2 linked regions of the Tribolium castaneum genome follow. The protein of the gene in region 1 purifies or fractionates together with the protein of each later gene. This does not show direct contact. Links are inferred from orthologs where the notes say so. Each region holds a gene or a part of one and is shown in the gene's direction. Other genes may lie near its edges. The genes, in order: M-phase inducer phosphatase and SkpA.

Region 1 (4,611 bases):
GAGCTGCGAAACGATAAGATAACTAATTACTTTCGAAGAAGCAATTCTTTTATGTTTGGACAGTCTGAAAGTGAATAGATTTTGTGTAAATTATGCAAATTGGTCCATTCCCTGGCCACTTTGAGATGAAGGGATGACCTAAACAGGTAGAGGTGGGAACGTCGGCAATTTGCCGGGATAAAGGTAAATTTTCCTGTATCCAGTCTGCGCATTTCGCACAATGATCCAATTGTTCGGCCAGTTCCCATGTCACTTACAGGGAACGTATTATTCTCACGCGAATGATCCTCTGATCTCTTCCTATCGGAGGCATACAGTATAACTCTCACTCTGATAACGCTATATTCAGGTTTCAGAACGGTCTTAAATGCCAATTCAACACATTCTATACTTATCACACACATGCCTCAAATATAAATATTTCTCGGCGTCATACACCACAACCAAAAATTTTATTCATGTGCTGACTTCATTTGCTCCCATTTCCTTCGATTAGGATAAACAAAACTGTATCAATTTTAAATAAATAAATTTATCAACATGTGCTATAGTTCAATGTGATACATAAATATCAAACTGAAATGCAAAAAGAACTGACCGCTCAACAGCTGCCAAGGAAGAAAGATACTCAACTTCATAACTATTTAGCTCGCTATGCTCACTCAAGGATAACAATTTTCAGATCAGATTCTGAGCCTCGGCAACCAAATGTTTAACCAGACTTCAATAAAGTCTGAAACATGAATCCATAAGTGAACAGTATTCTGATTCGGAAATTTGAAAAGAAAAATCGAATTTTAGAGCAGTAAAAATCCATTTATTTATTCCATATAAAGCAAAGTGAAATAAAACAGTAACAAAACTCACTAATTATAAATATGCCAAATGCCTAGCTTATTTCAAAATAATGCAAATAATGCATTTTTTGAATTTATCAGCATCTGTTGCGTACTGGCCATTTATTTATTTATTATTTTCACCGACAATTTATTAGTTTAACACAATTTATTTATCTTATTGATCCACTATTATTTTCACCAAAAAATAAAATTAAACTGAAATGCTGATAACACATTTGTACCGAAACATCAAGTGAATAAATCGCAGAACATTTATCTAGGAATTTTGAACTTCCTCACATGAATAAACATTTGCGTTTTTTCGATGCGAAAGAGGGGAATAAATCAAAAAATTGGAGATGTACAAACAGAAATAAATTTAATTCTGAATAAATAACAAATCGGATAAAATAAATTTGGCTAATTCGGAATTCTCGCTGTCCGGTCTATTAATATTTAAATATTACGTGATTAATTCCAAATATATCACGCGGGTTCGCACGCTGTTTTTTCCCAAGACCCGTTCCAAATTAGGCGCAAGTTTTGTAAAGAAACTGGATTTTTTCCAAAAATGCGGAAAGGGTGTATGGTAAAAATTTTCATTCCCAGGCGCCCCTCCCTTGCTTTCTTTTGGCGCCCTTGCCCTATCCCTACTCCCCACCGACGATGTGGGGACGAGCTGTAATAGGATAAAGACTGAGGTAGGCTACCTTCACTTCCAAGTCGCGTTTGTGTGGTGTGCGAGGACGTATCGTCCTGGTTTGAGTGCTTGTTGCTTGTGTTAGATTTTAAGACGTTTTAAGGATATTTCACCGCTTTCTTCCGACAATGTGGGATTCGATAAGCACGGATTCTTGTGATGTCTGCCAGTGCCCCCCAAGGTAATTGCCGTGCGGTTTTCAGCCCCTTCGCGATTTCGCGAACAACCCCCGAACCACTTATCAGTTTATCATAATTTTGTGGATTACGTATGCACAGTTGACGCGTTTTTCCCCGATAGTAATTTTTTGGGCCTGCGGTTGGGCGTTTTTTTGACCCTGCGTTTTTTGGGTGATAAAGGTGACAAGGACACTCAAAATTCAGTTTGCTGGTTTCGGGCGGGAAACGCCGTTTTTGCATTTTCGGGGGGACAGGTCCGGAACTGCTCGTTTTGTTTGATTAATTCAAGGCCGTTTTTGTTTCAGATCGAAACGAGGGGACGATTCTTGTTTGGATAAAGAAAATATTCAGCAAGCGTTAAGTCCGGTCAAAATAGAAGAGTTATCGTTTTACGGAAATTCGAGTCCTCCGGCAATAATCTGCTCCGGGACTTCACCGAATCACTGCAACCACAATATAATAACTCGGCGCCCCCTTGAGGACCACGACCCCAATTCGCGCGATTCCGGTTACGTTGCTAATTACAATGAGGGTAAATTCTCGACTTATGCTTCCCCGACTCGGGGGTCGTTCGAACTGGCCTCGATCGGGTCCATGGAGGACGAGTTTTTCGAGGATTTTTCCGATATTGAGCCCTTGGAGGACAACTTGCCGCAGGATTTCGGGAAATTGATCACTGGACCGATCAATTTCCAGAACCGGAAAGAGACACCGACTTCGCCGAGGGATCTAGTAATTCGGCCCTTATTTCGAAGGGCTTTGTCCTTGCAAACTGAAAGGACGCCGCCAAGCAGGGTCAGGTCTTGCCTCTTCAAAACAACAGAATCTCGCCCGTTTAAGAGACCAGAACCGCCGCAAGGATTCGAAAGCCCAAATTCGAAAAAACAGAAAATTGAGGATGAGGAAGCCGCTGTTCCAGTCGCAAGGCCTGTGCTTCAGAGATGCGTGTCTGCGACGGAGGAGAGTATAAAGTTTGCGGTCCAGAGGTCATTCGTGGAGCCAGACCTCATCGGTGACTTCAGCAAGACGTTTTGTTTGCCCTTAACGCAAGGCCGTCATCAGGACTTGAAGTGCATCACTGCTGACACTTTGGCCAAACTAATCCGTGGTGACTTTAGCGGAAACGTCGCCTCTTACAAAGTTATCGATTGCCGGTACCCTTACGAGTACAAGGGTGGCCATATTGACGGCGCCATTAACGTCTACACCAAGGAGCAGTGCATGGAACTATTAACTAACGTCGCCTCTGCGAGCAAGGAGCCGCGCAAAAGGAGCAATATCCTGGTTTTCCATTGCGAGTTTTCGAGCAAGCGGGGTCCAGATTTGTAAGTTTTGCTTCTGGAGGGTTGTATCGCCGTGCTAATGATGTTTTTGCTTCCAGATATCGGTATTTGCGTGAGCAGGACCGCCAGCTCAACCAGGACGTCTACCCTTCGTTGCACTACCCCGAAGTCTACCTACTTGAGGGTGGCTATAAGAAGTTCTTCGAGGAATATTCCGACCTCTGCGTTCCTATAGCCTACACGGAGATGCTGCACCCGGAATATGAGAATGAGTTGCGACATTTCCGGCTCAAATCCAAAACCTGGAATGCTGATACGCGTCAACGGTCCGGGTGCCGTCACAATTTGAAAAGACTAGGACTGTAAATATCGAATCCCAGTGCCAAAATTTGTGAGATAGTACAAAATACAAGTGCGCGGACTTGTTTGCCAAATGATATGTACAAAGTAATGTGCTATATTAGCATGTATCCTGAAGACTTAGTCTTCTTAGTGTATATTACAACTGTATATAAGAGAGTACCTAAATAGCTTGCTCCAGAGTAGTTGAGATGAGATCTTTCCTTTTGCAATGCTAAACCACCAAAGTTTTCTTTTTGTTATTTAGACAGTCGACGGATCATCCTGGTCCCCCTTTAATTTATTTTTTATGTGCAATTTGAACAGCAATAACGATGTGATGTTGCATTTCTTTACCAGTACATTATGCTTCCTTGCTGTTGCGCTGGTGTTTGTTTGCAGATTTTTTATGTTCATTTTATTAGTTTAGTATAGTCTAAGTGTCAGTATTGTTTTTGTATCCTTCAGCATATTCAAATGTGTTCGAATGCAACGGCTGGGGATTTTATACTACTTGAATGTGATTTGTTCACTATTTGGACGGACTGATGCTTACCCATCCGTTGCATCATAGATTTTTAAAGTGATACTTAATATTATAGATCTGTACAATATTTTAATATTTTTATAACTTATGATAATACATTTTTGTTCCACATCAAAACGAACTTTCTTTACCCTTGCACAACAAATTCGTTATTTTGCATCGGTTATTTACCGCTAGAAAGCTACAACGCGCCATCTACCAATCAGCGGGAAAAATCCGACTTGCCTTCCTAGAAAAATTTAACCGTTGAAGTGCCGTAATATTTTCACAAGTACATCATAACTGGCCGTCAGATTTAAAACAGTTAAGTGGCAGTTAGTGAAATCACCACCAATTAAAAGAATTAAAGAAACAAATTTATGAAGCGACATCTATCAAGCTGTAGCTAAATATATTGCGTAATAGATTATGTAATGCATGCTTCCATTTTCCAACAATAGGTGTCAGCCTATGACGACAACAGCCGGCATTTTTCTGTCATTTTTGCAACTTGTGATTGTGTTCTGGAAAGATCTTAGGTGAGTTTTTGTGATTAACCCTTGTCGTGTGTAGAGGCCCCAGAAAATCAAATTCCACCCCCACCCCACTTAAGTAAATTTTTTCAGCAAAATGTTTGCTCTTAGACGACCGGTATATTCTAGTCGTTTTTTCTCTTCTGTAGCAAAAAATATGGAAAAACACGGCGTAGTCCCGGATGTTGTTGATGTGGCTCCCGAGACCACAG
Region 2 (2,771 bases), on another chromosome or scaffold:
GGCATGTCTTTCTGGACGTTGACTTATCCAGTCGATGTGGCCAAAAGTCGGATTCAAGTCACTAATAGTAAAATGAATATGGTTGCAATGATTTTGCAAATATCGAGGCGGGAAGGCTTCAGACAGCTTTATAACGGGTTGACTCCAACGTTAGTTCGGACTATTCCATCCACTGCCACTCTTTTTGCAACTTACGAGTATTCCAAAAGATTCCTCCACCAAATTTTCTGATTAGAAATAAAACTCGAACATAGTTTTTATATTTTATTTTTATCCAATAAATAAATAAATAGGAATACTGGGGTAATACTGTCCGGCCTGTCTTTTATTATTCTCCTCACTTCAGATAATTGCTATTTTCGGGATCGAACTCGGGGGACGATTCTATGGCTTTTTTCAGTAGTTCCCCGAAAAGACTCGGACTGTTAAGGATTGTAGGGAAATCGCGGGACCGGTCAATCCCCGAAAAATCGGAATCCAGGGCTGGCACCCTAACAAATGAATCAAACTTTTGCACTTTAATTGTTTTAATGACTACCTGTACTCGTCACTGAGACGGCTTAAAATGTCTCGCTTTTGCTGCCCGCGGCACACGGGAGAAAAAATGTGTGTCCTTAAATAATTAATTAATTAAATAAACCTGATATTATGTAATTAGTACCTGCAATGATTTTTTTTCAGCAAGTTGGGGTTTTTGACCAAAGCCCCGTGGGTAATTTCAATAGATAGGAAAATAATGCTGACGAATAACAACAAAGTGATTCGGTGGTCCGTAATGGACTTTTTCATTGTTGTGGAACCCTAAAAATCAGATAACAATTTGTTTGTGTTTTGCTCCAAAACACTTGAGAAGTCAAGTTAGATAAGAATTGGAAGTTTTCAAGTAATAAAGATTCGGTCAATTGTTGCGTCAGATTGTTACAATTAGTTGTTTTTATGCAATAAAGAGTGTTATCGCAAAAATTTCAAAATAATGTGTAAGAAAGAGGGTGATAAGGAGAAAATCAAAAAAGACGACTCAGACAGACTTACCATTGTTTGGCTTGGAGACAGGCGGTGAAGACGGACAATCTGGCTCCCAAATTCTTGGGCCACCTCTTTTAAATCAAGAGCGGGGTCTTGCGCAAACCAAGTGCAACAATTTTAACGCACAATTAAGCTTTATATTGCGGCTCTTCCCATATTACATTATCCGAGGCAAATAACGCGCTACGTGTTTTGATGAAAATTTTGCCGCGTCATTGCGTATTTGCTGCAATAACTCGTTTTGAATTAATTTGTTTATAACAATTGGTTCGAATCTGGCGCCCGTGTGGGGACGCTTGCGCGTTACACCTGTCATCCACCATTATTGCCGTCTATTGTCATATTCTGTCATCGAAGAAAAACCGTGAAAAATGCCGAATATTAAACTGCGTTCCTCCGACGGTGAAACGTTCGAGGTGGACGTGGAGATCGCGAAATGTTCAGTGACCATCAAGACCATGCTGGAGGACCTGGGGATGGACGAGGAGGAAGAGGAAGTGGTGCCTCTCCCCAATGTCAATTCGGCGATTTTGAAGAAAGTTATCCAGTGGTCCACTTATCACAAAGATGATCCTCCACCGCCCGAAGACGACGAGAACAAGGAGAAACGCACGGATGATATTTCGTCATGGGACGCCGATTTTCTCAAAGTGGACCAAGGCACTTTGTTTGAGCTGATCCTGGCGGCGAATTACCTGGACATCAAGGGGCTGCTCGATGTGACTTGCAAGACAGTCGCCAACATGATCAAGGGCAAGGCCCCCGAGGAGATCCGCAAGACTTTCAACATCAAGAACGACTTCACAGCCTCCGAGGAGGAGCAAGTGCGCAAGGAGAACGAATGGTGTGAGGAGAAGTAAACTCGTATTTTTTTTATTTAAGATTATTTCCAAAATTGCGTTCATTGTTTTATTGTAATATGATTATTTAAATCAAACGCCATTTCGACCCAACTGGTTGTTTATTTGCACCTTAACCAATTATAATAGGTGTCGGATAAAATATAGTATACAAGTGTTAAAATACGCCATAATCATCGCAAGACCCCGCCTCGTTCCCGCAAATGCGGGCCCCCATAAACGCCCCCATTAAAACCGCTACAAATATCATCGTTAAAAACCCTAAAAAGTACAGCCACGTCCTGGAGGAACACAAGGACCACCAACACCTACAACTCGCAATTAATTGGCAGCTTTTTAACCACAACTAACCCTCGGGTAAAACACCCATTTCGCTTGATTTCATCCTCCACGAAATTTTCCGACTTGGATAGTTGTTCATTCATTAATTTAATAATTTTGCATTTGATGTGTTTGAGCTTCTGTTTCGTTTCCAAAACGTCGCAGTCACAATCATCATCACGGCTCATTAAACTGGAATTGTGTTAGGATTAAGGAAATTCAATTTGTAGTGTGCAAATTGAGATTATGACGTTAAGGTGTCATTTTGGGCACGTAACTTCAGTGTCACAAAGGGACCCCGAATTACGAGCTAAACCACTGACCTGGTTTCTTGCCAATTCTGTTTGTTTGTCAGTGTACATCAGCGATTTTTGAATAAACTGTTTTTTATCAAATAACTAGTTTTTTAATTTAATAATCCCGCATTCTTGCATTTGTTCCACAACAATGATTGTATTATTTTAATTCTCCAAGTGCAAGTTTTTGTAGTTTTGAAAAAAGTAGGAATATTTTCGGCGTCAGCAGGGTGGTGAAACCTAAATGCACCAAGCCAAGTATAGGCGC

Evidence for each region.
Region 2: the proteins of M-phase inducer phosphatase (region 1) and SkpA purify together in Homo sapiens (affinity purification with western blotting; 6 studies listed by BioGRID and IntAct, with this or other methods). This does not show direct contact. The link is inferred for Tribolium castaneum from reciprocal best matches to the Homo sapiens genes CDC25A and SKP1.

What each region holds. Positions count from the first base shown.
Region 1 is NC_087403.1:1,088,706-1,093,316, forward strand, and holds M-phase inducer phosphatase, read left to right. Parts: upstream 1-1,516; 5' UTR 1,517-1,667; coding exon 1,668-1,720; intron 1,721-2,023; coding exon 2,024-3,043; intron 3,044-3,099; coding exon 3,100-3,367; 3' UTR 3,368-4,004; downstream 4,005-4,611. Other genes in the region: protein D3, read left to right, coding at 4,305-4,405, 4,493-4,611. UniProt on the Homo sapiens protein: Tyrosine protein phosphatase which functions as a dosage-dependent inducer of mitotic progression. Directly dephosphorylates CDK1 and stimulates its kinase activity. Also dephosphorylates CDK2 in complex with cyclin-E, in vitro.
Region 2 is NC_087402.1:1,038,947-1,041,717, reverse strand, and holds SkpA (S-phase kinase-associated protein 1), read left to right. Parts: upstream 1-1,319; 5' UTR 1,320-1,397; coding exon 1,398-1,886; 3' UTR 1,887-1,979; downstream 1,980-2,771. Other genes in the region: mitochondrial ornithine transporter 1, read left to right, coding at 1-231; uncharacterized protein LOC103312555, read right to left, coding at 338-491, 539-613, 662-801, 1,033-1,035. UniProt on the Homo sapiens protein: Essential component of the SCF (SKP1-CUL1-F-box protein) ubiquitin ligase complex, which mediates the ubiquitination of proteins involved in cell cycle progression, signal transduction and transcription.